Linked DNA regions of Oreochromis niloticus. The protein of the gene in region 2 interacts with the protein of the main gene of each other region in a pairwise test. Links are inferred from orthologs where the notes say so. Each region holds a gene or a part of one and is shown on either strand. Other genes may lie near its edges. The genes, in order: xrn2, disc1, mpped1 and exoc7.

What was found.
Region 1: the proteins of disc1 (region 2) and xrn2 interact in binary tests that used the Homo sapiens proteins (3 or more experiments, as listed by UniProt). The link is inferred for Oreochromis niloticus from reciprocal best matches to the Homo sapiens genes DISC1 and XRN2.
Region 3: the proteins of disc1 (region 2) and mpped1 interact in a two-hybrid assay, tested with the Homo sapiens proteins (2 studies listed by BioGRID and IntAct). The link is inferred for Oreochromis niloticus from reciprocal best matches to the Homo sapiens genes DISC1 and MPPED1.
Region 4: the proteins of disc1 (region 2) and exoc7 interact in a two-hybrid assay, tested with the Homo sapiens proteins (2 studies listed by BioGRID and IntAct). The link is inferred for Oreochromis niloticus from reciprocal best matches to the Homo sapiens genes DISC1 and EXOC7.

The regions. Positions count from the first base shown.
Region 1 is NC_031980.2:23,317,435-23,325,168, reverse strand, and holds the start of xrn2 (5'-3' exoribonuclease 2), read left to right. Parts: upstream 1-4,715; 5' UTR 4,716-4,870; coding exon 4,871-4,945; intron 4,946-5,964; coding exon 5,965-6,092; intron 6,093-6,341; coding exon 6,342-6,453; intron 6,454-6,597; coding exon 6,598-6,709; intron 6,710-7,597; coding exon 7,598-7,656; intron 7,657-7,734. UniProt on the Homo sapiens protein: Possesses 5'->3' exoribonuclease activity. May promote the termination of transcription by RNA polymerase II.
Region 2 is NC_031978.2:23,847,617-23,854,867, reverse strand, and holds the start of disc1 (disrupted in schizophrenia 1 protein), read right to left. Parts: upstream 3,009-7,251; 5' UTR 2,967-3,008; coding exon 2,858-2,966; intron 747-2,857; coding exon 1-746. UniProt on the Homo sapiens protein: Involved in the regulation of multiple aspects of embryonic and adult neurogenesis. Required for neural progenitor proliferation in the ventrical/subventrical zone during embryonic brain development and in the adult dentate gyrus of the hippocampus.
Region 3 is NC_031981.2:37,162,438-37,170,215, forward strand, and holds the start of mpped1 (metallophosphoesterase domain-containing protein 1), read right to left. Parts: upstream 3,006-7,778; 5' UTR 2,790-3,005; intron 1-2,789. UniProt on the Homo sapiens protein: May have metallophosphoesterase activity (in vitro).
Region 4 is NC_031973.2:3,946,464-3,953,756, forward strand, and holds the start of exoc7 (exocyst complex component 7), read right to left. Parts: upstream 3,008-7,293; 5' UTR 2,838-3,007; coding exon 2,778-2,837; intron 2,613-2,777; coding exon 2,547-2,612; intron 2,242-2,546; coding exon 2,057-2,241; intron 1,978-2,056; coding exon 1,872-1,977; intron 1,328-1,871; coding exon 1,105-1,327; intron 861-1,104; coding exon 693-860; intron 368-692; coding exon 356-367; intron 1-355. Other genes in the region: tvp23b (Golgi apparatus membrane protein TVP23 homolog B), read right to left, coding at 4,573-4,599, 4,692-4,820, 5,657-5,782, 5,949-6,038. UniProt on the Homo sapiens protein: Component of the exocyst complex involved in the docking of exocytic vesicles with fusion sites on the plasma membrane.

The DNA.
Region 1 (7,734 bases), on a different chromosome or scaffold from region 2:
TAATAATGTAATGTCATAATCAAAAGTTAAAGAATGAAAGTGAAATTCACATACACAAACACGTGTTTGTTTGGCAAAAGGACACACGTTCTTCACTCGAGTGCAGCTGCAGATACTTGTGTTAGAAAAGCTCTGAAGCACTGAAGTACTGTTCCAACTCCTTTACCTAAATAAAACAAAAGTACAGGCTCTGAAATGTATTCAGCTTATAGAAGTAAGACGTAGCTCTTTGAAGGACATTCTACTTTTAATCATCAGCTGTTTTTATGCAAAATTTACCGACCACTGTGATTTTCTCTCCTAATTGTTGTTAAAAGTTTGTTTCTCTGTCACAAACATCTCTTTGATTTGTACTCGCGTTCCCTGCACATGTTAAAGTGCGTCTCTTGACCTGACTTTCTCCCCTCACCCCCAGCCAGTCGTGGCCCCTCGCTGAGCCTGGTTCTCGTGGGGATTTCTTCCTGTTAAAAGGGAGTTTTTCCTTCTCACTGTCACCAAGTGCTTACTCATAGGGGATCAACTGTTTGCATTACTGTATGATGTTCACCTTACAATAATCTGCACCACATCACAATACCGGTAACTTGTTCACTGTTGTTGTGATTTGGTGCTACATAAATGAAATAAAATTGAATTAAATAGAAACACATTTGTCCGAATGAGGCTCAAACTGTCTCAGATGAGAACTGCCAAACTGGTATTTTTCCAACATTCATTAATCGGACATAAACTTGTTCTCACAAAGTTTTATTTAATTTCACACATTTTTTGTCTTTGGTTCCCACTGATGAATGACTTCACTCAGTTCAGTTCAGTCAGTTTAATGGCCGTACTGGGAAATTTGGTTTGCAGATATGCTCTCATGAAATCCATCAACAATATAAAAAGAAGAAAAAACAATACATAACAAATACAGAAAATTAAATCCACATCCAAAAAACTCATAAGATATAATCCTCCAGTAAATATCAGTATAATTTAAAAAAAGGTACAGCTATCACAAATTGATTTTTTTTTTTTTAACACTATTGCATAGAAAATAAAGGAGTTTTTTTGTCCTGCCACATTTTACTCTTCATGTTCTGTATCTGCAGCCTGAAGCAAACAGTTCAAATTCTCTGTGCAGGGGTTCGGTCTGGCTCGTCACATCTTCGCCGGTCTTTTGCACTTCCTCCTGCTCATAAACAGCAGGTAGTGAGATCTGTAGGACTTTGCTCGAGTTTATCGTGTCCTCGGTTCTAACATTTCCAAAGCAGTCAGTAATGGAGAATATTAAAACAGAGTGATGCTTATAGCCTCTCTTTAAAACAGTATCTTGATGAGTGCCTTCATGTGACGCGTTTAGGGGACATCTGCAATCTAGCTTACACTCTTCCTGTGACAGCAATGCATAAAAACCCATCTGGCCTCAGGTTGCAGAGCATAGCTCATTCACAGAAGACACCTGCTATTTACAGCTACGACTAAAACGGATGCAGGACTGTTTTTGCTTTGTTTCTGTTGCTTAAATTAGTTGCAGCTGAGATTTTTAGAAGTGGTTCAATAACATAATTTCCCACTGCCTTGTTGTTTACTCTCTTATTTACCATTTTGATTAGGTGGAAGTACAGTTGTGAATATTCAGTGGAGTTTTTCAAACTGCACTCTTGGCTTATAATAAGCTAATTTCATTCACTGTTTTGACTGTACAGTTTTATAGCTCTTAATGACTGCATTTGGAGATGTAGAATAAGTTATACAGTAGAATTTCCAATTTTAATATGATGTAGAAAAGAAAAAAAGATGTTGAACAAAGGTAAATAATTATACGTGGACTTTTTACCTTGTTTTTACAAGGCACTGGGATTCATTTACAGAATTTCTGTTGTTGAATTTATGTGTTGGAAATCATCAAGGAACAATTATTTCAATTAACAATTTTTATGCATTGAGATTTCTGCAAAAGAAACACTGTCATCTGTCCGTTCACTTTCTGATGCTTATTGGAGTCCAGGTAGTGTGGGGAGCAGTATAAACTGAGAGGTCCAGGCCTCCCTCTACTCAGCCACCGCCTCCATCGAGGTGTTCCGAGACATGTGATCTCTCCAGCCTGTTCGTTTTATGTTTTCATGTCCCAGACCTCCTCTGTCAGACTCTCTGAGATTTAGCAGCAGCTGTTCCTCTAGAACAGCTGGAATAAGACAAAGTAAAGCTGAACCCTACTGTGAAGCTCCAAAAGAAAAGATTGGAAAAAATAATTACATATGCCCTTTTTTAAACATGCATTGGGATATAGAATCTTTACTGTTGAACCTGTAGTGTAAATAGCTTGATTAAATTTACTGTCCATGGACACATACAGGTTTTTCTGCATGATCAAGTCGAATTTCATCTAGATGTGATATCCAGATAACTCGGGCGATGATCCACCAGGTGAGGGCGCTCTTCCTCTTTCAGTCGCCTGCATGCGTGTGGAATATCAATCCAGAGAATCCCCTGAACAATCAGCTCACAGAGAGATGAGATAAAGACTGAACCTTCACGTTTCCATTTTTTTTCCAGCTCTTCGAATGAAACATATTTTTTTAACTTCTGAAATGCTTAAACTAAAACTTCTGCTGTGAGATTGTTTTGATAAACCAAAATTCCCACTTTATCTCAGCAGAACAACTTTATGGAAATCAGTCAAAGCCCAGAACGAGCGACCATTTGTCCATGAATTCAGCAACTCATCGTGTGCAGGTGCCGGAATGTATTCTTGTGTCATACTCCCGAGCTTCACCTCCGTGCGCTTTCACATCTGCCATTTGCATCAGATTTCACTTTATCTTCTCTATTTCTCTCCACAAACACTAAAACGACGCCTCCGTCCTATTACCTGCAGCTCCAGCGTAAATGTTTATGGAAATGGCTCGTCGGAGCAGGCCAAGTGTTTTCCATCAGCGGCTCTTTGCAGTAATAATACTGCAGTGTTGATGTCAGACCCACCCTGCCTGAAGAGGGGAGGCTAATGGCCCCTTTCCCCCGCTGCATGAACCAGTGAGGAGAGGAGGGAGGGTAGAAAAAATCTAATTCACCTTAAATGTGCTGCTGCAGGGCTGGGAAGCGAGAGGGCATCTGTTCAGAGAGTCCCCATTAAAGGAACATCATGTAAGATCAACCACAGCGCAATTATAGGGAATATGGACACGAGTGAGAGTCTGCGAGGATCACACCTCTCACACACCTGTTGGCTTTTGGTGGTTTCTTCACAGCACTGTTTACATTTCAGTCCCCACTTTTAACATGAAAACTCAACTATAGAAGTTATTATTATTATTATTATTATGTAATATTTTATATGAACAAAAACAGTGAGTGACAGTGCACATACCCCTCAGTGAAAGTACATGTTTATAACAATATTAAAATTAAAATTCATAATATGTGACAATAATATTAGAGTAGTATTTGCAATATCAAAATGCATAAATTTACATATAAGTCTGCTCAGTGTCTTAAACTTTACATTAGAAATTAAATATGAGTCATATTTGTTATGTATTTTGTGGCTGTGGTTTTCCTTCATTTTTATGTTGGTACACATATTTAAATTGATAGTAAATGTTTAAATATAAATTTAAAAAGCTTTTATTGATATCCTTAAACCATCCATAAACTCTGTCGTATAAGAGCTTATCAGTGTCTTGTAAGGTATCAATAAAAACATAGGATGTCATTATTAAAATTTGTTGTACAAAATGTTAGATTTTCAGCATGACCAAGTAAAGCATGTCTTATTTCATTTAATCTCCAAATCGTAAATAAACACAGCCATTAATACAAATGCACGACAAATAACATTCTAACATTTTACATCGCACATCTGATGATGTATTTGTGCTGTGAAATATACACAATATAAAATACAATAAACACATTTAACAGATAAAACAGATAACTGAACAAAACTAAATGTTTTATTTTGAAATATTAGAAATTATTAAATGTGTTTCTTAAAGTTGCTTATTTGTCATTTTCTCTGTGTTAAAAGTTTTAAAGTAAATTATTAATTCATTGACTGCATTAGAGAACTTTAGAAAATATGAACGTGTAGACAGTTTACAAAGTATAACAAAGAACAAACTGATAAACATGAGAAGAAATAACAACGGCTTATACTGATTTGATGTAAATGAAATTAAAAAGTAATAATTTTATAGAATTTTGATGCTTTTCTGCCTGAATATTCAATAAATTAACTGAGAACATCCTACAACTGTTTTGTAAAAATAAATAAATGAGACATTTTGAACAACAAAACAAAAAGCATGTGAATAAATAAATATAGAAATATAATAATAACAAATAGACTGATAAAGAACAGCAAAAAATTATGATCTGTGTGGCAACAGAAACTTATCGCTGACAAGCTTCAGAGACTTTCTCAGGAAGCAAAGATTGTTCAGGAGTTGATTTATACTCATGTTAATTTTAAAATACCTGAAGCTCTGCATATTAATATCCCTAATAACAAAAATAAAGTATTAAGGAGGAAATATAGATCCCAGTTTTCAACATTATATTCCACTTACATAAGTGGTGAATATAGTCCAGGAATAAATATTTAATTTATTAATTTATAATCCAGGTGAATCAGTTGTTTCCATTATCAGGACCGTTGGACGCCTGCAGTACCGTCTCTGACCCATGGGGTCACTGTGGAGTTGCGAGACTCTTCAGAATGCTCCGGAAATATTCGACATAAACCGGAAAAGGTACACAATGGCTACGGCCAGCAGCATGTAGCCAACGCATCTACAGTTACGATCTTGTTTTAATTAAGCTGTTTTAATCATTTCGTACTTGTTCGTATTTTAACCGTTGAAATAGAAACGACTGTTTACCGGAGATGGGAGTTCCGGCGTTTTTCCGTTGGCTGAGCCGAAAATATCCATCAATTATTGTGCACTGTGTGGAGGAAAAGGTGAGTGGTTAGCTTTGAAAGCTAGCAGCCTGTCCGAGGAACATTATCGGGAAGCTTTTTAATACTCTTCTCGCCCATTTGACTGCGTTTTAATCGCTGCACACAGCGGGTGAAATTACTACGGCAATGTGAAATGTTTTGGCGAGAGCGGAGACGATAAATAAATCAAAGTTCGTGCAGTCTGTGTTTACTTACACGTGACACTGTAAACAAAACTGCTGCTGTGTGAATGTTTGAAACGCACGCGGAACTTTAACCTGAGACAACAAACACACGAAGTGTTTGGATTCGTTGTTTTTGTATTGTTAAAATTAACAATAGTTATAATTATTTTACTGGTCTGCTGTTAAACAGTACTGTTGAAATGCGTTGAGCCACCCCTCGTTTCTTTATGTTTTGTTGCCAGGAAGCCAGAGTTTCTTTAAAAGTGCTCTTGAGCAGCTGTTCTCTAGGTTTTCTGAAGGTCTTTCAAGGTTTATCTTTGGACATTGGCTGCTTTTGCACTTTGTTTTCAATTCAGTCCTTGTACCTGAACATTTTCAATTTTTCTTCGTTAAGACTCTGAAGCAATCGCGCATAGAAGGAACCTAAGTCAAGGGATGGAGCAGAGTTTTCTACACATAATGGACAATTAAGCATAGATCCAATTTTGAATTGTATCTGTATGCTGTTTGTTACTCCAGCCTGTTACAAAAACAGATCATTTGTTCCTATGACTTTAGCTGAATCTGCAAATAAATGTTATATATCCTAGGCATTTTTTGCACTAACAAGCTGATTCACAAAGAGCTATTTGCCATAAACATTGCGTACAAAAGTAAAAAACTGTCTACAGCATACATATCCTACGTAATCACAAAGCTTTCTGACATCTGTGCTGTAACCTGACATGCATGTCTGTAGAAATGTCGCTAGGTTCTGTGTGAGTGCAGCTCACAACAGCTGAGGATGTATTTTTGTCCAGAGTTGCAGCTCTGTTGCAAATAAGGTTATTTTTTTGTTTCCTTTCATGTTAACAGGGGAAGGAGTGTAATGGAGTTCGTATTCCTGTTGATACAACAAAGCCAAACCCCAATGAGGTGGAATTTGACAATTTGTACTTGGACATGAATGGGATCATTCACCCCTGCACGCATCCAGAAGACAAGTAGGAACCGTTCTCAGTTTAATCTGGACATAAAAGACCGATCTTCTGTGTTTACAGCTCAGTTCATTTCTGATATAACAGAAACATACTCCCTGTGAGGTTTTTGTTTCCAGTGTAATTTATTTGGAAATTAATAATTTAATTGAAACAGTCTTTTTTTAAATTTGATATAATTATACAAATTTATACATATATAAAAGTTCATAAATTAAACCATACCAAGTCTTCACTTTGTCTCTTCCTCCACAGACCGGCTCCCAAAAACGAGGACGAAATGATGGTTGCCATCTTCGAGTACATTGACCGCCTGTTCAATATCGTGCGGCCGAGGAGAGTTCTCTACATGGCCATCGACGGAGTGGTAAGCTGCTGCCATTAACAGAAACGTGCAGCTTTTTTCACTGATGAGCATTTACAAGTTTTACTGTGAGTGAAGTAAACTTGTTTTCAGTGTTACGCCAATCTGACAGTAGCTTTGATGTAAACTAAAGTTAACTCTGCCCAGGCTCCGCGTGCCAAAATGAACCAGCAGCGCTCTCGACGGTTTCGTGCCTCCAAAGAAGGGGTCGAGTTGGTGGAGGAGAAGAGTCGCGTGAGAGAGGAGGTCATCCAGAAAGGTGTGTTTTATTTGCCTCTTTGACTGCTGGACTGAAAATATGGGCAATATATTTTAATGTCATATTCAAAACGCTGTAATGTTAAATGCGTCAAATTTGATGCATGGGGTTTTTGTAGGTTTTTGAGGGCTGTGCATCATCTGTGTGTATTTTTTCCCCAAAAAACCTAAATTAACTGATTTTTAAACAATAAATTGCAAAGAAATGGCAGATATACCAAATATGATCAAAATTAAACTTGCATATGCAAATTGATTAATTGATTGTTTGATTTTTTTTAATTATGAGAAGATTTATTAAACACTCCAGTTGAAAAAAAAAATCTTCTGCCAATTATTTCATAGTTCAGGCATTAAAGGGGAAAGATTAAACACTGTAGACACTGTAGACTGTAGACTTTTTTTTTTTAAACAGGAAGTTCATATTTAAAATTGTGTCCATCTCTCAGGGCACACGTGGAGACAGATTGTCATAGCACAGTCCTGCAGTCAGATCCTGAAGCAGCAGAAGTCCTTAATTAAAGATTCTCTAGGCAGTCTTTGAGATGAACATTAATAATGCAGCAAATATAAATTTGCCCTATACAGACAGTAGTGGAGCAGTGATATCCTGTGTGATGAGCTTTCCTTTTTAAAAAAAAATTTTGGTAAATAGTGTGGCGGCTTCCTCACTGTGAAACCTCCTCAGTTCTGTTTTTTTTTTTTTTTTGTTTGTTGTTTTTTAAACCCGATTTGATCAATTTCAGCTCAGTGTAAAAGTCTGCAGAGTTTTATTTCCCCTCTCTTTCTCTCTGTGCCCAGCTTGGATAGGGAATACAGCCACATGGGGGTAACTCCGCCCTCTAGTTTCTTCTCAGTATAATAAGATTTTTTTTTTTTCCATCTACAGGAGGTTATCTTCCTCCGGAGGAGATTAAAGAAAGGTTTGACAGCAACTGCATCACCCCAGTAAGTTTACTCCATCCAGTGAAATCTTGCCTAACGTTTATTTACTTGTAACAACGTAGTTACAGGATTTGTACTTGA
Region 2 (7,251 bases):
GGCGGAGGTACTGTCCGAGTCCAGGGAGAGTGAGGAGGTGACCTCTATATCAACAGACTGGGCCTCACAGTCGGGCACGTGGGATCTTTCTACGTGGGCGGCAAACAGGCATTCTCGCCAAAACTTTCCTCCAGGTAGTGTTTGAGCAGGAGACGACTGCTTAGGGAAATTGTGCTCGACAGGTAAGGTTTCAGGTTTTGTCTGAGGCAGGTCAGATGCTTTTGTTGATGAACTTAGTTCTTGTTCTTGTGTGGGTGTGGCGGTTGTTTTCTGGCTGGAGGTAAGTGACTGTTGGATGAAACTGAAGCTGGAGTTAAAAGAGTCCTCTGGCTCTGAATGAGTGTCCAGGCTCGAACTTAACCTGAGTTCATTGTGGGGCAGTGAGGACTGGCCCAGATGGCTGGATGTACTCTTAGAATTGCAGTTCACAGGGGAAGGAGGGTGGGTAACAGAGCAGACAAAGCTCTGAGTCTTCCAGGAGCTACACGTGTGTTTATCAGGCTGTTGATGATTTATTAAAGACACACTGTCTGCAGCAGCTGGACTTGGCCTTTGAGCATTAGTTGCATCATCTATATCAGCGTCACATCCTGATTTTCCATTGGTAATAAAAGTGGCTGTCCCAACATCCTCCTCCTCTTCCTGAGTGGCGCTCTGCAGTCTGCACTGCTCTCCTCTCATGTACCCTGGTCTTCGGTGGAGCCTCTTACGGCTGGAGCTGCCAGCTGTCCCTGATGCTCTGCCACCTGTCGATGCAGAGATTAACCATTAAGCTTGACAACATGGCCATGAGGAAGATAACGCATGACCTCATAGAACTGGTAGGATTAACCATGTAATCATCAGCTACAGCAGGAAGATGTAATGCTACATGTGCTAATTACACAAGTACCCGAAGCAGCTGTGATCCAGCAAAATGACCTTGTTCTTTAAAGATAGTGCCTAATGGACTGAATTAAAAAAGTTGGGCAGATGTGTGACATTTCCCAGGGTTCTGCTCCAGCTGTTGGGAAATACCAAAGCTGCACAGTCATTTATAAGTTAAGACATTCCTCTCTGTGGGATACCAGATGCATGAACAATATATTCTGAGGTTAGATTTGCATTTTTTTATTTTTGCAAATAGCAAAATTCTTCAGAGGGCAGGTTCTCAAAGCATAGCAGGGGGCTCACACCTGGATCTGGAGCCTTAAATCGGTCTATTTCACTGAAATATAGGGCAAAGGGCACACAGGCAATGTCTGATTCATGTTGGTCCACTAACAAACCGGCACTGATGATGCTATTGTTTTTATAACCATTCAGCTTCTCTCTTTTTCTTAAAGCAATAAGGCTGATAGAGTTTAACTGAGATCTATTTCTGACGGGGTGCTAAAACCTGTGAGTCTTCCAGCCAAAGCAATGAACTGAAGGATGTGGAAAACACCTTTGTTTAAAACAATACTGATTAGCCTCGCTTTATCAAACCCACTTGGACTGCACTCACAGAAGAGGTGGCTTGTCTCAAAACTTTTCAGTTATTACGAAATCCATGTTTTTTGTAAAGGGGGCGTAACCGAAATAGCTTGTGAAGCACAGACACTGCCAATCTTAGTATCAAGAAGTGATACAAACATGCATGCAAACAGCGTTTGGTCTGAAAGTGGAGCGTAATGATAAAGACCAGATTGTGATGGGAGTCAGACACCTGCTGCAGGGCCACGTGATTAATACATATCATGTTTAGGATTCAGACGAGGAGGCGCGCTCAAACGCTGGGGATCAACAGCCCCTTTGTGTACAGCTGCGCTGCTCCTTCTTTCACTTCTGGCTCTTGCTTTCTCCTCCCACTCACGAACACTGAAGTCACACAGAGGCACACTGACAGTGCTGAAAACACTGGGATCAGTTGTACTATTGTCAGTGTAAAAGCCTGTTAAACGCTTTAACTACGATAAAAACAAATCCAAAAGTAGAAAACGCAAACAAACACATAAAAACAACATCTTACACAACTGTAAACCTCTACAAATAATGTGTTTTTTGCAGTGGGAGCACAATTATCAAGACAGGAATGCGGGGCATTGAACAAAGCATGACCGATGAGCAAACCACAGCCCACTTCCCAACACCCAGTAACCTCGACGATGCCACTCCTAAACTATCCCATGAGACTGTAAGAGACTCAAATAGAGACCAGTGATAGCAGTATTTCAAGTGAGAGTAACACAGGGATGCTCCCATTGTAGACACAGTGTTTTTCTGTTTGTGCGTGTGTGTGTGTGCCACTTAGAGCTTTCTGTCCACTGGGACCGAAGCTTGGGTTACACACAGGTCCATTAGAGGGTCCTTGCAGACGTGGCCACTGGTCCATAACTGATGTAAGAAACCCAACACTATCTGTGGGTTACAGCTACAACCGCACACTGTCTACCATCTGGTGTGGCTAGATGTTATACTAAGCCTTCTATCAAGAACTAAGCAGTCAAAAGAAGAGGGACGTTACTGTATCCTCGCCATACTTCGATTACACAAAGAGAGCTCTTCCCGGTTTAAGGGGAAGGAAATGCCTCGGGGCCTATTGTTTTGTGTCTGCTGGCTTGTGTGTGTGTCAGAGGGGCATCTATTTTTTGGCTGAACCCCCTCAGAGGTATTTTCTACTTCCTGTCGGGCTTTGAGCTAAAATAGTTCGCCAGGAATTCAGGCAGAAAATACAAACAAGCAAGCAGTGACGTTCTGTGGTTCAACACCAAAGATAAAACAGTCCCTCTGCCACAATGACAGCATTCTCACTGTAGCATGTTATCAGTGCTGAAGAAACTGTGCAGAGAGCCTGAGAAAAAGAAGCATGTCAGCCAGAAGAGGCGAGATTATTTACCTTTGGAGATTAAAGAGGCCCTCCTCAGCACCCTTAGGTTAAACACTGCATCCAGTTGGGCACTGAAAGTGCTTGAGCCAAAGACAGAGAGGAATGCAGGGGATCTCATAAAAACACAAACATTTGAGGAACAAGCTCAGCACCCTCTGACACACACACACACACACAACACACACACACACAAGCGGATCTGCATGTCAGCAACCTCCTGAGAAGCAGCACTGCTCGGCAGATGTGCGAAACCTCGCCACTTGTGACCAAACAGAGCGTCACAAAAAGGGGAAGTGAAAGTTAGCAGTGATATCTATTCATCTTACTAAAGAAATGACTACATAAGTGGATGAAAACCCAACAATACAGTATGCTCCAATGCCAAGTCCTATCTTTGGTCCTAAATCTTGGCCCTTATCTCTCCATTTTGCACGGTAGGTTAAAGGGTGGGGATATTCCAAGGATTGCGTCTCTGCTATGCTCTTGTCAGACTGTAATCACATGAGGATCAGTTGAGTCTGTGTTATAGAGATTCATTTACACACTGCACGTACTCTTTAATAGACATTTTGATATTTTTTGTAGATTAGATTCATTCAAAAATGTCACACAACAGAAACCAGAGACCAGGGAAAAATCTACTCACAGCAGAAGCTGTTTCGAAAGCACTTTGGGAAATAGATTTTTATCTAAGGTTTGCCACATCTAGCAGCCTTTTAACTGCAGCAGTTACCCTGTTGCATGTAGCGAGATCATAACAGTCTGATAAATGGGTCTAATGGAGGTCTGATTACCGGCATCCTGCATGAACAGACTTGGATCACATTTCTATTTATTAGTTAAGCCCATTTTATTTGTGTAAAACATGTTAAAAGACCCAAATAGAGACAATATCCAGGAAAATGCTTCTCTACTTTGTCTAAAGAGGTGAGGAACATATTATTTAAGTATTTAATCATTTCCAACTCATCATCTATCATTACTCATCCAAGAGTGACTGGTAGGGAGACTTTAAACCTTTATGATCCAGGGAACTGTGAACTTTCATACACATTCCGGGCAATGCATTATTAAACAGGCTATGAGTCTTCACTGCGGCTGTTCTGCTTTTGTTTAATCATCTGATGATTATCCCTCCCTAAAAACTGCCGGCTTAGTACATCCTAATATTACTATTTTATCCAATTTCGGTGTATTAAAGTTGTATGTAGTTCCTGGGGGGTATATATATCCTGTAAAAGACCAGTGTTAGTGTGAGAACATCAGCTGATAGTTAAAAATCTTGTGTTTTACCTTGAATGGCTTCGCGGCGGTGAAGTAGAGAGTTGCTGTGGCATTCCAGTCCCATCAGTCCAGCGAACATTTTTCCATTAAAAAAAAGGCTGTTTGTGTTGAAAAGTCAAAGAAAGTCAGACCCCGGTGGCACAAGCCTGCATAGAGTTACATCGACCATGTTTTAGAAGAAGTGGAGCCAGGCAAAGGGACTGATCTCATTTCCGTTATGGAAAAGTGAACCCGGGCTGCTATATTTTCACTGCACACAGTGAGTGACGGGTGAAAACGGCTTCCCAGCGCGCTGTTTTGTCCCTGATGAAAATTTCTTGACACAAACATTTATGGTACATCAGATTCTTACATTTCTCCCCCCTGTTGGAAAAAAGTGGGTCCCGCTGCGCCTGAACTGACGGTCTGGAGAAAGAAGATGGACTTCACGTCGTGCTGTTCCTTGTGGGAAAAGTATGGAAAACACAACCAGCGGTGGTGTGCAGTGGCAGAAGTACAGAGCCCAGGCAAATCTGTCTGTTAGTCGACACATCGATCAGTTGATCAGTAATCCGTTAGTCGCTGCGCCCTTGCGTCATGCGTCGCGTTGGAGCTCTTACGTGTTCAGGAATTTGACTCCAGACTCCTTCAGACCGCCTCATAACCACAGCGGGCACACTGTGGAAGTAGCAGCGGACACGGAACCGGATTAAACAACGCTGTTGTTTATCTTTATGTTTATATGTGCTGTATTTTAGTGTCACTGAAGATTGTGGAGGAAATTTATGGGGGGAAAAAACACCTCTCTACTATTAAGTCACAAATACTATTAAGTTCAAATTTATACACACAGGAAGCGTGTGATTCAGTCATTTAAATCACAGTATAGCAGGTCTTTACTCCCTTACACATCTTAATGTGTTTCTTTCTTTCGGCAGTGAGCACCAAACCCTAGACCTCACATAGCGCAGTCTTTTCATCCACCCCTTCACACACCACTCATCCCAGTTCTCCTTTCATTCAGCTCGCCTGGCTCATGAACAATACTCAGAGACAAAAAGCTCTGTTCTACAGACAGAATGCAGGACTTACACGCAGCTAGGGTAAGAGCAGGGATGAAACACGTCGCCTGGCATGCAGAGTGCCATCACCTGCTCTCTGTTAAAGATTAGAGGCCCTTAATGCATTTTTGACATCAGCGCACTGCCCCACAGGCTGGCTGGTTTCCAGGAGAAGCCCTTTGACTAACCTCTCAAGTTTTAGTTTTTGGCTTACCTCTGTGCCACTGCATCTAAAAGGACAGGGCACATTTGTGATGACTTGTTTTAAGACATAAGAAACACCATATTATGTGAAAAACCCAGAAAGAAGATGCTAAAATTACACACGGTGTCTATGAGGGAGCAGATGAAACGTATAAAAATGATGTAATCACATCTGTTCTATGTATGAGGGCATTTATGAAATAATTAAGCAGTCAGGAAAAGAGTGATTGCAAGGATAAAAGATGAATTAATCAAAGGATAAACACGTAGTTGTTGACTAATAGCACATTAGTTCCTGCTCTGTTAGGTTTAGCTTGCTCTTTCCCTTCATCAGCTATGCATTCAATGCATCCATCAAATGCATTTTTACAGTGCCGTAGCTGTGTTGCTGACTTTGACCAGCAGATGTCAGACTTCACACAGATATAATATATTAGTTTATCAACTACAATAAGTTAAGAAGCAACTTTTTTTCTTTACATTTCCCAAAAGTGTGTGTACACGTTTTTACTTTTACATCAAACCTTTACACGTTTACATCCAACTTTGATTTCATACATAACCACAACCATATGCTACGTGTTTCCTGATTTAGTCGTATTCACAAAATATTCATTTGATGCATCATATAAATAGATTTTATGTCACTGTATACACAAATATATAGTATCACATTTAAATAGTCTAATTGTGGATTTCACAGCATTCTTTTCTCCTAATAAAAAAGCCCATGCCAGTTTTTTGACTTTCTCCTTTATATGGAACCAGGAAGTTTTTAAGCATGACCACGAGAGTAGTCATTTGATCCCAGCCAAAGGTCTGAATCATTGTAAGTTTTATAGCACTTACTGACAAAGATGTTAAGAGTGGTTTCTGGTCTGCCATAGTCCAGATAGTAGACTTACAGCAAATCTCTGGATTAGAGTTGTTCCAGGATTTATTTATTCATTTGTTTATTTATATAAATGGGGCGCTAAAGTCCGAACAACCATTTTAGGTTAAAAAAAAAATAACTTAAAAAATTCAGTGCGTTGCACTGATTATAATGTGCACAGGCCTCCTATGTAATAACTACATACAGTAGGAGACGTAGTTGCCTGTTGCACAAATTAGGAGGAGACGTAGTAACCCAGTAATAATATAATAGCTGGACTTAAGCACAAGATGGAACCACTGTGATATATTATAGTTATAGTTGTACAAAGTAAAGCAGTTAGGAATAGTAAGTAGCGGACTGAGGTTCATACAAATACCCATGCAGTCAAACATTCACTGCATGTAGTATTATTTATATTTAGATAGTTATATATTCACAGTGAAGCAGAGGACCTTTATTTCTACAGGAAAATGGGGAGTTAGGCCCCCTTATCATCGCCTGCTATAATTTCCGGTCCCACCTTTAACCCCCTCTTTAACCTCTGGCTGCTGATCATCTCCTTTGTAAATGGATGGCTTGGCTTTGGAGTGTAAAAGGAGGCCAAAACTTTATTTTCTCTCTACATGTATCTGTTTGCATACATAGTTCTGAAATTGCCCAGCAGATGGCAGACCTAAATTATTTGGACTCTCTCTATTACAGTCATAAAAAGGGACAAACTTATACCACATCAAAATGATCTAGTTCATATCAATACAAAATAGTTACTTAATTACAAATAGCCTAAATTGTTTTTACAAAATATAATTTGTCATAGTTTTGTTTTTTTCTAATATATGCGAGATCAAAATGTGATATGTATACAGACCTAAAGGTGACTAATGTGAATCATAAAATAACATTTCCTCTGAGGTGAAATCTGGCAATAAAATTGTTTTGGCCCCATCGTGAATAAAGGCATCTATTTTCAACGACAGACTATGCTATCATTATTTTCT
Region 3 (7,778 bases), on a different chromosome or scaffold from region 2:
GGTGCGATCAGCAGGTCAGTAATCTCTGAAATTTAGGGTGGTTTCTGAAAGCTGAAAGAAAACTATATCTGACACGTAGCTTAACAAATTCATTTTGTTTTTCATTTAAATATGAAAGTGTGTTCCCACCTTGTCCATGTAGTGAAAGAAGCATCTGTACCTACACTGGAAATGTTGGACCACAGTGGGTTCGTACGTGCTCCGTTGAATGCACAATCGCAGTAGTTAAGGCCATTCACACTGAAATTAAAAGAGTATGTAAGGCGCTGAAATGGTGGGCGCCTGCTGGTATCAGTGTGACAAGTAATTGAGCGATGCTATGACAGAGACGGGACTGTACAGCTCTGGAAAGCTATCATAGGGAAAGAAGACGTTGTCTTTTACCCAGACACTTTTCCAATTACAAAGTAATTTACCAGGAAGGTGAGCTTACATACCCCTATTTGCATTCGGTGGGCCTTCCTAGATGACATGCTCTGCTGCATGAAAACCTCAAAGTTTTTTGCTTAGTGTTTTTTTAAACAGGACTTTTGGTTTCATTAAATGAATAAAATGGCTGAGTTTGTTCACACAGCGCTAAATTCAATCTGAGCGCAGGCTTAAACATTTACATGCCAGTGCAGACAGCCGTATTGATTAAAATTAATGTACATCTGTTCCATCAGACATCCGCGAGACTGACAACATGTTGGAGACAACTTCTGTGTGGACAGCCTGTTTGTCTCTGAAAACGTTTCTCGTAGCGCCTCGTCCTTTGTTATTTTAAAGTGAGTGTTTTCTTTCTGCCAACGGTAAATCCTCTTTTACTGCATTTTACCAGCTCCCAGCAACATTTAACTTATGTGTGAAAAATGTGGACGTCTGATCTGATGGAAACATGCTAACATCAACATACAAGCATATTTAAGAAAGCAGGAAAGCAATAAAAGCAGTCTTCACTCCACTGTTGCAATATTGTTCTGTTTTTAGCCTGAATTTGTGTCCCTGTTTTTACAGGTGTACAGAAAACTATCAGTGGATTACTGTCACATTAAAAAATAATGGGTGCCGTTTTTCCATGATTTGTAATTGTGTACATTTGTGTTTTCTTTTGCTTCATTGTGCTGAATTTTAACAGACTAGCTCCTGTAAATTTCACAGAGATCATATCCACCGGCTCTTTCTGTAATGTCAAATTCTAAATCTTGTTTAAAATATTCCAAAAGAAAAGCTGTAAATGAATTTCATGAATTCATAAAAAAAATTTCTGAGTCTAAATTGATTTGCTTATGCGTACTTTACCTCAGCAGCATGACCCCAAAATGTGTCTGTGGTTTAAAGTGTACTGAACTTCATGTGAGTGTAACGCTGTTTTTCAGCACACACTGCAGAGACGAAACTGGTCACATAGTCTAACAAAGGAACTCCTGTACTCTGTAAGATGGGGGATCAAGACTTCTGCACACTCGAGCCCACACAATCTGTTTTACACGTTCACAAGTTTTCACTCACAGACTCTGTCCAGACAGAAAAAAACATTTCCTCCAGCCAAAATTCATTAGCTCATGATTTTTGTGTTCTCTGCAAAAGTGCCTTTAGATCATTTGAGTTATGACAGCCTCGTCTGATTAAAAATGAGGGTCAAGACTTCTGGTGACAAGACTAATACTGTCGTGCAGTGAAGATCACAGTTTATAGGAATAATTAAGATGCAACGAATTGATGAGTTGAGTGTGAAAATAGATACAAGCGTTATTTACTGTTTTTTCTGGCTTGATTTGTTTGTCATTGTTTGAATTTATAACAGAATTACAACGCTTTTATTATCTGCACTATTTGGTAGTTGGAGAAGAGAAGAGAAGAGAAGAGAAGAGAAGAGAAGAGAAGCCCTGCAGCGCTCACACAGATCCATCAGTGTTCAGTAGTGTAAGTGGAGCGGCTGATAAATGCAGAAACGTCTGATTGATGCGCTCTCCTCGTGGGGACATTGTCATATTTAACAGCGACCGTCACATTAGACCGTGTGCTGCTTATTCGGCCGTTTCCTGCTACGTATGGACACACAGAGAAAATTAAAGTGCATCTGAGTGTGTCGCTGAATTACAGTTATCTGTTTTACGCATAGCCTGGAGATAGTGTTGGTCTGATTTGGAGTCACGGCTCTGTGAAATTTGGTGAAAGAAATTTCCTATCCAAGGCTGAAAAATACAAGAGAATAACATCCACAAAGATTTCTGTGCCAATTAACTTCTTTTAATGTGACGTTTTTCACCTTTAATTCGCTCCTGCTCACTTTGTCTCAGCAAAGCGTTTTGCAGGCAGAAACTTTAATTAGAAATCAGCTGAAAAGTTCAAAGTGCGTCTGTGATTATCGCCCTCATGCGCGTTTTGCAGAGGTGCCCGTGCACTCACACCGAGTAACTGACTTCTAATGAAACTTTTCCACAGGCTGCACCAGCTGTCTCCCTCTCACACGTGGAGCCTGGAAGCACCGCTATCAGCCTTCTTTTCAGTCTTGACTGCCCTTTGGATGCGGTGCTGTGGTGAAGTATGAACGACCATAAAAGCGTTCCGGTGAGCTCCGCTGGAAAACGCGACATCTGGGGACGTAAATGAACGCCTTTTGTATATATGAATTTAGGAGGAAAAAAAAGCTCCCTGCAACCGCGAAGCCAAGCGAGAGGAAAGGTTGGCATCAGGGCTGAGATTAATCCGAGAATATGCCGCGGTATGCGGGTTCGGGGCAAATCTCTGCTCCGCTGTGTCATGCATTGAAAACAGAGCTGTAAAATAAAGAGGAGTCTACCTACCAGCTTCAGCCGCAGTGAGGCTGCTCAGTGTTGGATGGTGTGGAGAGAAGAGTGTCTGCGCTGCCACAGAGACGCGCTGGTCAGTTTGAATGCGTACCCCGTGGTGCACCGGCACAGCGTCGTAGGGAGAGCCTCTCTCTCTCTCTCTGCCTCTCTCTCTCGTCCTCTCAGTCCGGCCCACTGTGTTTCACCGGTGAGCGGTACAATGAGGAGGAGCAGAGGAAGGAGGGAGGGAGGACCGAGAGCAGCTGCGTGCGGCACCACTGGGCTCATTCCCGGTCAGAAAACCCGAGGAAGCAGTTCGGTGCAGTTTTACTTATACATGACGAAACCACAACAACAGTTGCCTCAACGCACTTTATATTGAAAAGCAAAGACCCTACAATAATACAATAATATGGGCGTTTGTCTACACTTGGAACACACGGGCCGTGTCCATCCACCATTTGACGGTGTCCTGGAGTTTTGGATCAGTCACACGCGATGCTCATGACGTTGTCTGTATCTTACAGAGCTGCTTCAAGTTTCCGTTTTACGCAAAGAAAATAACGACCTCAGGATTAATGTTTAGATGGACAATGAACATGTCAGATATGAAACATTTCTATCAGAAAACCACTAAAGAAGATCACAAACAGCCACACATATACTTACAACAATACAAGCTGCTCTTTATAATTTCAGAAACCTACCGCAGCTCTGTGACATTTACAGAAAAAAATATAAAATGTTCTCTCTGTGCGATTCTATGCAGTGTTAGCCCTCAGATGGATTAGCAGCCTGTCTAGGGTGAACCCTCCCCTCACCCAATGAAAGCTGTGAAAGGCTTTACCCCCATCTGACCCTAACTTGAATAAGCAGTTAAGAAAATAGAAATCGAGGATAAATACTACAAAAACTGTCAAACAGAACAAAGTTAATTGTCAAGTTTTGGGGTTTGGATTCTTGTTTATTATACAAGCCAACATGTGTGAAACAAGCGCGACGGTAAAATAATCTGTGTGAAACCACAAGTGGACACACAACCTCAGTCTGAACATGTCCGATTTCACTTTCTATCAAATGCTGTGGTTTGCTTTAAAGAAGGAAAAACACATGTATTGAACACTCGCGTGCCTCTGTGCCAGCGCATCCTGGCATTTTATTTCTTCAGCTGAACAGTTGGAACTACTTTATAGAAGTCGGGGATTGTAAGTAAACATAGTGAAGTACTGCAATAAAGCACAGATCGGAGCTACTTGCACTTTAGGCCTTTGCATACAACTTTCTGCTTCTACTCCACATTTCAGAAGAGAAGAAACTTTCACTGTCTGACGCTGTTTAGTTACTGGCTACTTTATAAACTGGGATTTTTATACATAAAAAATAGATTATACAAATATAGCTGAAATATCAATTAAGCGATCAATTGACCATAATGCTAACTGATAGATCATTTAAAACTTGTGGAAACACTTCTCACTATTTCTCTTATTATTTACAAACCAAATGAAAATAATCATTAGTGCTAGTTGAGTACAACTGGCACTAATGATTATTACTGGATGAAAAAACTGGGTGATAAAAATGAGCTCCACCTCTATCGATGAATACTAATAATCCAGTAATAGAATTTATGCTCCATTTATTATTGTCCTTTCAGAAATTCTATTTGTTTTGGTGGCAATTGCCAGATAAATACAACTACAGCAAAGAAGGAATCAACAAAGTCCTTCATAATAACAGCAACAACCCATTTCAATAGCATCAAAGCAATACAAGAAACATCAGTTATATCAGAAAAAGCTCTATGGCCACAGAGAGTTCACCCCATGTTATCCTGTACCTCTGTGCAGACTGCATCCATTCAAATTTACAAAAGAGAGGCTGTGACACATCGCGTTGTTGTACTGTGTCGTCGATGACCTGCAATCTCTCTGGATATATTTATCATCTTATTAAGTGTGTTCTTATTAAATACAGATAAAAAGATCCCAGGGAATAGAGAAACAAAAGAAAAAAAATGTCACCATCTCACTTTCTCCAGTTTTTGATACATACATATGTTAACATACATATGTTGACATGGGATGCAGTATGCCCTTAAAAAATTGAGGAAATGAAACAAGTGGAAGGTAAAACAAGAAGATGCACGCCTAAAAGACTATCTACAGCAGATGAATATCTGAAAGAGGACCTGAGAGATGCATCTGACCCTTCGGTTGATGCAGTCTCATCACAAATGCGTTCAGGTGAAGGGTGGCTATCAAGAAGCCATTCTGAAGGAACTGAAAGACGGCGGGACGGCTGATGTGTGCCAAATTACACAAGACCTGGACTGAAAATCAGTGGCAACAGCTGCCACAGAGTGTTAATCCAAATGTGAAATTTGAAAACACAATGGAGGTTCTGTCATGCTTTGGGGCTGCATTTCAGCCACTGCTGTTGGGCATTTTAGTCAAAATTGACAAAACTGTCATATCAAAATGTTACAAATGTTGCAATTCTAACATAATATTGCAATTTATAATGCTTTAATGAGAGCTGCACTGAGTCATTTATCCACTGATTAAAAATATAAACAATGTCGGCATGATCTAATATTAAAATAAATGTACATATTGTACCCACGAGCAGGATTAGGGGTAACTATATCGCTGCCACTGCTCGCAGCTATTCAACAAACACAAGATGTATTTTCTTCAAAACCACAGATGTTTTTAGTGAGTGTCCTTTTCTCCATGTGTGGCTTTCAGCACATGTGATGCTCAGATTGTCACCGTAGAATCCCGCCCCTTCTCACCCCTTTTCACTCACCATGTGTTTATACACCTCTCTGCATTTAATTATGAGTTATTATCATTCTCTGGCTCCCTTCCACAGCACGTCTTTTGTCTTGTGTCTCTCCACTCACCCCCAGCCGGTCACGGCAGATGGCTGCACATCGTTGAGCCTGGTTCGGCTGGAGATTTCTTCCTGTTAAAAGGAAGTTTTTTCTTCCCACTGTCACCAAAGTGCTTGCTCACAGGGGGTCATATGATTGTTGGGGCTTTCGCTGTATTATAGGATCTTTACCTTACAATATGAAGTGTCTTTAGGCGACTGTTGTTGTGATTTGGTACTATATAAATAAAACTGAATAGATGTTTGAGCCCTGATCCAAAAGGTAACTTCAACCAGAGCACTGTAGACACTTAAAACAGACTTCCAGTGATGCAGAATAAATGAGCAATATTTGTATGTTCATAGTTTTTAATGAGGAAGGAGGATTCAGTATCAGACACAAATGATTTTTCAACCATGCTTGAAAGCTGCCTTTAAAGGAATCTGCAGCCAAATGTGTTTGAAGAACTTCAAGCAGTGACAATTACACACTCTGCCCTGTGCTGTGGTAGTTTGTTAGAAAAGAAATTAAAAGAAATGCTGTACAATAAATGTTAGAATCAGAAGATAATTCATGCAAAAGGAGCTGACAGCAGTGTGGTGGCCCTGATCCCTTTGGCCCATGACTATGGCAGCGTGCCTTGCAGCAATAAAATGCATCTTTGTAGCAGATTTCTGTAGGTAACGTGTTTCACTTCCTTCAACCTGTGACCTGTTTCCTTGTTCATTACAATGTATGTTATTAATATATAAAGCAAAGCAAGCAAAGGCCTGTAAAATCTTCAACATTTCTGCTGAAAGGAGAACTTCATCATTTATTGGCTGTGTAAGGGATAATCAGTCAAATTACAGCATTACAGCACATCACCACCTCTGCTCCTGTTTATCCTCAGGTAATTGGACTGGGATTTAGGCCAGTAATGAGCTGAACAAACAGAGCACAATCCGGAACTCAAATATGTGCCCACAGTGGAAGCTTCCAGAGGAACAGGCTGAAGTGAGTGCACCATCTGGTGGTCACTTCACTGAGAGACAAAGCAAGTACAAAAAATTCAGTTGAATAAAAAACACCCTCTCACACCTGACCAACAAAATTACCGTTACTCAGAATAACGTCTGTTTTGGGCTTTTGTATCCTGTTGTGATCCCTCTTGATCTCTTGCGTGCATCCTTTGACGATGACATAGCTTCCTCCTCGAGAGTGTTGAACACAAATCTTTAGTGGTATACAGCAAAATTACAAAAAGCAAAATGTGTTGTTTTCTAAGTAGTAATGGACTTCAGTACTGTTCACACACAAGAAGCTTCTCAGATTCTCAGCTTCTCAAGAAACCTAAAGAAGTCCAGACGCTGTTCTTCCCAAGCGCCTCAGACTACGATGACCTGGATGACTGAGAACCTTCACAGACATACGTCACACTCAGTTCTTTCAATACTGCGGTAAAATCACCAAATTGCAGATGAGACACTTGATTTCTGGCTGATTTTGCTGAAGTGGAAAGCATGAAGTGGTTCAAATTCTTACAGTGTTGGCTGCATATATATTAAAAGTTCAGTATCTGGTTTATTCAGTATGCACTATATTATGCACATAATGGGAAAATAAACAGAATAAAGTTGCATTTTTGCAGATACCTTCTAATGGTCACATTTTCCTAAGCCTATCAGTCCATGTTCTGTCTTTATCACTTCATAGCCAGTGAACTTTCAGAAGAGCAAATGAATGAGGAAGGCAGACAAGACAGCGAAGGGAGAGTAATCTTAGCATCTGGCACAGTCGCATTTGCCTGCAGATGCTGGCAGCTGATTGGACGTCCTGGAAAGATCATGTAGGAAATATCAGATCTGCCTGTCAAATATGATTAATTACTAACAGCAGAGAAGCTCAGCAGTTACAGTAATATTATAAACAGGCAGTGAACTCAAACATTAAAGTAGACTGCTGCTGCCAGTCAGGTACAGGCCAGTAAAATTGGGAATATATTAACAATTAAATCACATATAATAGATTTGATATAATTACAAATGATTGTTCTTAAAATGGAAGAAACTGAAGACAAAAAATACATCACCACTGATTTATCACGAGGGTGTCATACGACTGAAAGAGTAGAGAATGCAACTATG
Region 4 (7,293 bases), on a different chromosome or scaffold from region 2:
TACACATCATTTTATAGAGCTAGTCTCAATCATAAATAATAATTTGTATTCTATGCAATTATAAATTATTCATTTCTAGTAAAATTGTAAAGAAATTTCATCAACTTTTGTTTATCGGCGGTTTGGTGGCAACCTCCACCTTACTCATCCCATCACCGAAACGCTCTGCCGTGAAACTAGAGGTTAAAATCTCCACTGGATCACCTACTACACCATCAACAGGACAAATAAACCTCTGCTGTCTCAGCTGCTAATAAAACGACGCAAACCCTCATGCTGTCTCTGATTTGCCGTGAAATGTGGCATCTGACGGACAGAAGCAAGCACGAGGCACACGCTAGAGCTTTGTGTTTACCTGGGATGTAGACTGTCATCACAACACAGGGATTATGAAAGAGGAGAGGATGAAGGATTAGTTAGAGCAGGGTGTAATATCACAGAGAAACACAGTGTGTGGTAGAAGTGCGCTACAGCTCGGTGAACTGAGTGATTACAGAGAGGTTGTGGAGGATAACCTGAGACAGAAACAGACTGTGGATGTAGTGACGAGTGTATTTAATATCCGTCACTATGCAGGATCATGCGTGTTTGTTAGGCTGATCTATGGAAGACGGGATTGGACAGCGAGTTGATTACAGACTGAAGTGGCGTGATTGTGGATTCGGTCTGAATGAGGCACATCTGTTGCTGACCTGGTCTCTTCGGGGCCTTTTTAGTTGGCGTGTCCTTGCGCTTGGTTTGGACGGCAGGCGAGTAGAGGACACCGGAGGAGGCGCTGTTCTTGCGGAAATGCTCCTTGAGGCCTTTGATGGAGCGATCGAGCTGGTTGGACCGGATCTGGAAGTAGACGTTCATGAAGTCTGCAGGAAGAGGAGAGCAAAATTAGACACAATCTTTCCAGTTTCTCTACACCGCCTGCACATTTCAAAGCCAATTTAATCATTTACATCATCCCAGCTCTGGTGGTAAGATGATTTTTAGATTGTAAGGTAGAGGACCTCCAATATTAGAGAGAAAAGCCCAACGATCAGATGATTTTTGCAAATGTGGTAAAGAACTTCCTTTAAATAGGAAGAGACCTCCAACAAACAAACACAGCCGTACCCTGATTACGTCCGTATTCCACCAGCCAGCCGGCGATGCAGATGATGTCCTGGAGCACGGCCTCGGGCAGGTGTTCCAGCACCACCTCCTCCTGGACCTCCAGCTCCTCATCCACGCTGATGGCGTCCAGGATGAGGATGGGGGGAACGGGTTTGCTGTAGCGGGTCAGGAGGCTGCGGAATTCGCCCTCCAGCAGCTCCTTCCCCTTTTCAAAGCGTGCTTTCTGCAGAAGAAGATACGGTCATGAAATTAGTGACTACGACTCGGAACGGCACAGAGACTGAAGCAGACGTCTGCAGTGAGGAAAAAGTGCATGAAATTTACACATAAATGAATGTAGGAATAACAGCACGATTCACACAGAGAGCTATGCTGTGTATAATGTTGTTCAGTCAGTAAATACGGGGAACTGTTGGCTTCATGTGCCTCAGATAGCTTTTTATCTTTCAGACACAGGTGGCTAAAAAAAATATTTTCACCGTAGTACTGTGAGAACCACGACACACCATACACACATTGTATTTATCAGAGGCTCGTTTTATGTATTTTGCTAGAAAAACACAAGAGCACAGAAAGCAGGACAACATTAAGATTCTGGTACAGTCTTCCCAACATCCTCACCTCAATCCTATTATTTTCCCACCCTGGGAAAATAACATTTCAAAGAAATTAATAAAAGCCCAAACTTTCCAGGACATTCACACCTATGATGAGTGGATTGTAAAATTTTTACCACAACTGTAATTTCAGAGAGGCAGATATTTTACCACTGTGTTGAGCTCAGGGCTGTCTGGGTTGTTGTCTTGAAAGTATTCGACAGCTTTCTGAATTCTTGCAATGCAAGCAAGATACTCGTCCAGTCTGCCTGTAGGTCTGAGACAAAAAAGAAAATTAGTATACATGTCGGAGTTTGTGTAACCACAAAACATTTGCATACGAAGGTCATCCCCACCCCTCTCTGATGATCCTGTCCGTGTCTTTGGCCACATGGTAGTAGCTGATGACGTGATCCATGCAGGACAGAGTTTTGTCCACGTTCTCCTGCAGCCGTTGCAGGTTTTCCGTCTGCTTGTGAACCGGGATGATGGAGTTCTCCAGCTGCATCAGGCGGCTCTCGAATGAAGACAGGATGGAGACCTTTTGGGAAAGAAATACAGGTGAAAAACCAGTTGGGCTATAAAAGCAGCTTTAATATAGCGCCTTAAATAATGAGTCCCAGCTGAAGTGGGGTGAAAGCTGAAAAATGACACCACAGGCTGCTTTCATCGACTCACTAAATCTATAGAAACTATAAGTAGATATTTCAATCCAAGTACAAGAATAATAATTATTTTTAATAATGGGTCAAAGTACTGTCGAATGGAGATCAGTCCGCCGCCTTTAATTATGAGAATTATGAGTGTCAGCCTGAGCTGTCCCTGGGTGTGTTTGGACCGTCCTACCATGTTTTTGGTCAGCTGATCGCTCTTTTCCAGGTTCTCCCGGATGAACGACAGCGTCTCCTGCTCCTGTAACAGCAGAAAGAAAACCAACCACTCGCTCATTTCACTCTGAAGACATTAAAGACACTCCTTCGGTCAATAAGCATCATTTTAAACTCGGGTATTGAGCCACATTGGTGGGTTGTAGCTCGAAGGGAAGCTTCCTTCCTCTCAAGCCTCCAGCTGTCTGACCTGCTTCAGTTTCTCCTCGATCTCCCGCTTCCTGGCGGACGCATCCTCCGTAGGAATCATCCTGGAGGAAATTTAAAGCAAAGGAGTCTCTTCTGCGGCTAAAACGTGACTAAGTTGCCGATTTAGATAATAAAAACAACAACGACACCCCTGAGCCGCTGTCATGGATAGCTAAAAGCGGTGAGGTTAAGCTAGTTTGGTTAGCCGTAACAGGGCAAGGGTTTCCGGTTAGAATTTCAAAATAAAACAGCCATCGGCACTAAATTGAACAGTGAAAAAAATGCTCATCGGTTTTCCCCCCAATCAGTTTGTACTAAATCAGGATTACGTTTAAGTTTATTTAATATCTTATTCTAACTGCAAATGAAAGTAAACACACAATTCTTCTTCAGTTGTCTTTTATTATGGAGCACAGTCATTTTTTTGGGTATAGTCTTCAACTAAAATTGTGAAGCCTTTGTCCCACCCACCTAAAAAGCTTTAGAAATGAATGCATTTACTGTTTGTATGACAATAAAAATGAACAGAGTAAAGCAGTATGAGGTGTACATCCCACAAAAGTGTTAATTTTCTTTTTACATTTTGTAAATTTTTATATCCTTTAATATAAGATTTTTGTCCCCCCATTTATCACAATTGTTGCCCTTTTTGCTAGATAATGTGAGTCACCTTTATTATGGAGGTCAAATACACCGACTTCCGGTAAGGGGTGTTTATCCCGGATATCTTTTTTAAAAACTTTATTTACAAAAGACAAACACAGGTAGTTGTCTAAGAATGTAAATCAGAAGATTTTTAAGTTTAAAGAAAACTTTTCAACACTGACATTTTGTCATTGAGGCACTTTTACACAAACGCCTAAATATTTATGTTATTTGTGAACTGTAATCAAGAGTTCTCAAAGTTTTTGAGAAAAAAAATGTTTGCAATTACATGCAATGACGAGAACCAACAACTAGAGGTCGCTGTTGCACTCAGTACTAAACACATTAAAAGCATGAGAACACAGTCATAACTAATTAGATACATGAATAACAAACCGTGGAATTAGCAGACTAAATGTTTAAACTCAGTTCATTAAGTAATATTTTTATTTTTGAGTCTATAAATTTCTGAAATTAAACAAAAACCTGGAACAGTGTTGGTTAATGGAAACAAATCTTATTTATATTTATTCCTTTTTCTTGAATCTCTTACGGGATTCTTTTTATTCAACACTTTTCTTTTCTTAGAGGCTCCCGCATTATAAAAAGTTGGAACTAATCAGACTCTCCACATAAATAAACACGAGCACCCAGTTCGGAAAAACGTTACAAATGTATTTGCACAAAAGATGACTCTTCACACAGTTTGTTCACTTACATATTTACAAATCTCCTGTTACACTTTACACACTTTCATACAAACCAAAATGTCTGTATGACATCTCTCAAAGGTTCTTTAATTACTGTTAATTTATAAAGTTATTAGAGGCAAACTAACTAAAAGAAGAAATCTGAAGGAGCTGTGAGACTATGACACAAACTACAGTCACTCCGACGCGTCAGCTGTTTTACACTCATGCAGTTCTCGGTAATCAGAGGATTTATTGCTGGACCTCAGGTAGTGAAAACCCACCTCTGACCTCTGTGTGGAAGATAAAGACAACTCTACTGAGTCATTTAAAGAAAGCACACAATCAAAAACTGCCCTTTTTCTGAGAATGCTTTCCTGCCCGTGTCCACTGAGAAAAAGAAGGTTTATATATCAGAGCATTGAGAATAATGCAGATGTGTTAACGCCGCAGAGCTGCACTCTACGATTCCTCTTCCTTAGACAGCGTCTGAGGAGGAAAAACACAAAAGACTTCTTAGAAACAGGACAAATACTTTTAAATTAAAAGACTTTTTATTGTGTGTTTTATTTAAAACTCACCTGTTTGAGGAACTGTCGTCCGAAATAATTGGTAGCCATGTTCTTTAAGCTGGTCTTCCCTCCCACTTTGCACCTCACGTATCCGTACAGGTTGGCGCCTTGCAGCACAACGCCCATGATCACGACGGGCTGTGAGAAAGAAGAAAATTTTTCTGAAATAAACCCTGGTCATATTTCATATTCCCCTTATTAAATCCCACGAAAAGGCTAAAGGTGAACCTCTTCACTGCCATCAGTGTCTAATAGTGTCTGTTTCTATCATGATTCCTTGTTAAGATTTTGATCTTTGTTTTCATTTTTTAAAAGTTACGACTTCTAACCTTACTGGGACCTTACTGCATCAGGTCATGTGCACCTCAAACGAGCATATAGCCTCCTGGGAAAACACTGGGTGCATGTCCGACACATCATCTCATAAAGCTTCAAATCACATTGTGAGCATTTCAGACATGGAGCATTCAGGCTGAAGGAGTCCACTGTGTTCCTGTGTCTGACTCCCAAACAACAATCTCGAGGGATAAAACCTGTAGTTTAAAACTGCCCTCTACAGACAGTTTCTTCTTTCTTAGGTGATGTTTTAGGTAACGTAGCTGCTAACCATCTGCTAGCCTAAACAAAAACACTGAGGCTTCAAACTGTGAAACCCAAAACCACAGGACGGCTATGCCCATCTTTTATATACAGTTTACATGCAAATAAAAGTCCCCCCTCATGCAGCAGGAAAACTTTGAAAGCAAGCTTGAGATGCAGGGTGAGAGCAAGAAAACACTGGCACACGTTTACCAAGTAATTATTGTCTAATTTTACTTAAGAAAGCACCAAGAACTAATAGGGTTCAGTGGGCTTAGAGCTGAGAGACACAGCCAGGAATGCTAGGTAAGACAGTGCTGTGAGAAAAATTTAATTGGATTTGTTGATAATAAGAAAAACAGCACTTGTCCAGTCACTTAAATCTAACAACTTACCATCCATTTAATCCTGAATGAAAACAGGGTGCTAAAGACAAAGATGACCCAGAGGATGGGGCAAACAATCAGTCCGAGCCAGAATATTCTGGACTCTGAATCTGATGCTTGCTGCTTCCCTGTACCCTGAAGAAGACGGAAACATATCTCAGTTAGGACATGCGAACATGATAAGGCCTACTGACTGTAAACATCTGGGCGGTGCAACCCGATACAGAGCAAGAGGTCAAGGTCACGTTTAGCTAAAGCTCCAAGTCAGAGCCAGAGCAGATTCAGCAGAGATGCATCTCACCTTCCTCGACTCAAACACCCAGTGGCTTCGTCCATCGTCATCAACCTGATTCCACCACCGCAGACCAACCATCAACCTCCCAGTGATGTTCTGCAGATGGAGAGATTTATGGCTTCATTATGGAGACTCTGGCAAATCTTATTCACATGGTGCTGGATCCGAACACTGTTTCCTAGGTTTAATTATTTAGTCTTTGTGTAACAGTGTGACTCTGGAAACTGAGTCCAGTTCCACATCTGCCTTACAGAGTGCAACCAGAGATATTATCCAAGGAGATTCTACAGGAGATTTAGGAAAGCCTTAAAGAAAAAAAAAAATGGCACTCAATGAGCCAATCGATCGCCCAAACAGAAAAAACATTAACCCTGTACATGTACGCACTAAAGGGTCACAACAGCTTCAGCTGTGTGGTAAAAGGCACCACGTACCTGATAGTGCAGTAAAGATGTCACGATGTCAGATCTTTTATCAGATCTAACTGCTGATTTTCTACGTGCAGTTTTTCTTTTCCAGTAAAAGCTAAAATGCTGCTTTCAGCTGTTGCTTTGCCCCAAGGCGTCACCACAGCGAGTAGCTCAGCATGCTTGATTTGGCAGTTTCCCACCATGTGATTTCCATTCAACCCCAAAAAGGATTTGCATCTCCAGCTGGAATCGTACCAGCAACCTGCCAAGTGAGTTTGCTAACCACTCCACCAGTGACCACTGAAATTAATCCCATAGCTCTCGTTCATTTCTGTTGATAAGGGATTCAAATTGATTCCAAGATGGCAGTTTTGTTGTGAGATTTGCTTTTAGAAGGACCAGTTTATGTGGACTTGTTGTTCACTACCATGAGGCTATTTAAACTGATTCAACATGAACATCACCAGCACACAATAACAGTGCCACAAGAACCAGTGAACGACAAACATCCAGAAACCAGATGTTTTTAAATCTCACTGTAGGCAGTGAAGCTACAGTGATTAAATAAAGAGCACGTTACAAATGTCAGGCTGGCCTGTAAACTCTGCTTCACTTCATCATGATTATGACTGGATGTTTGCAGTACCGGCTGTTGCATATCCCGTCTCCAAGGCTCCGAACTGTCTGTCAATAAACACGACGGTTGGATCTATGACCAAACTTTTCACCATGTTTTTCTCACGACTGCTCATCATCTCATCCCAGCACCGACAATTCATTCAAAACTAATAATATATAACCCAAAGGTGAAAACAGTTGGCAAGCTTTTAGGACGACTTCCAATCTTGCTTTTAAGCTCCTGATTAATTTTTTTTATCTCATCTGGTCCACTCTTCCTCTGAGTTCTGGCTTTAAGAAATCCAAAAAAAAAAAGCAAAAAA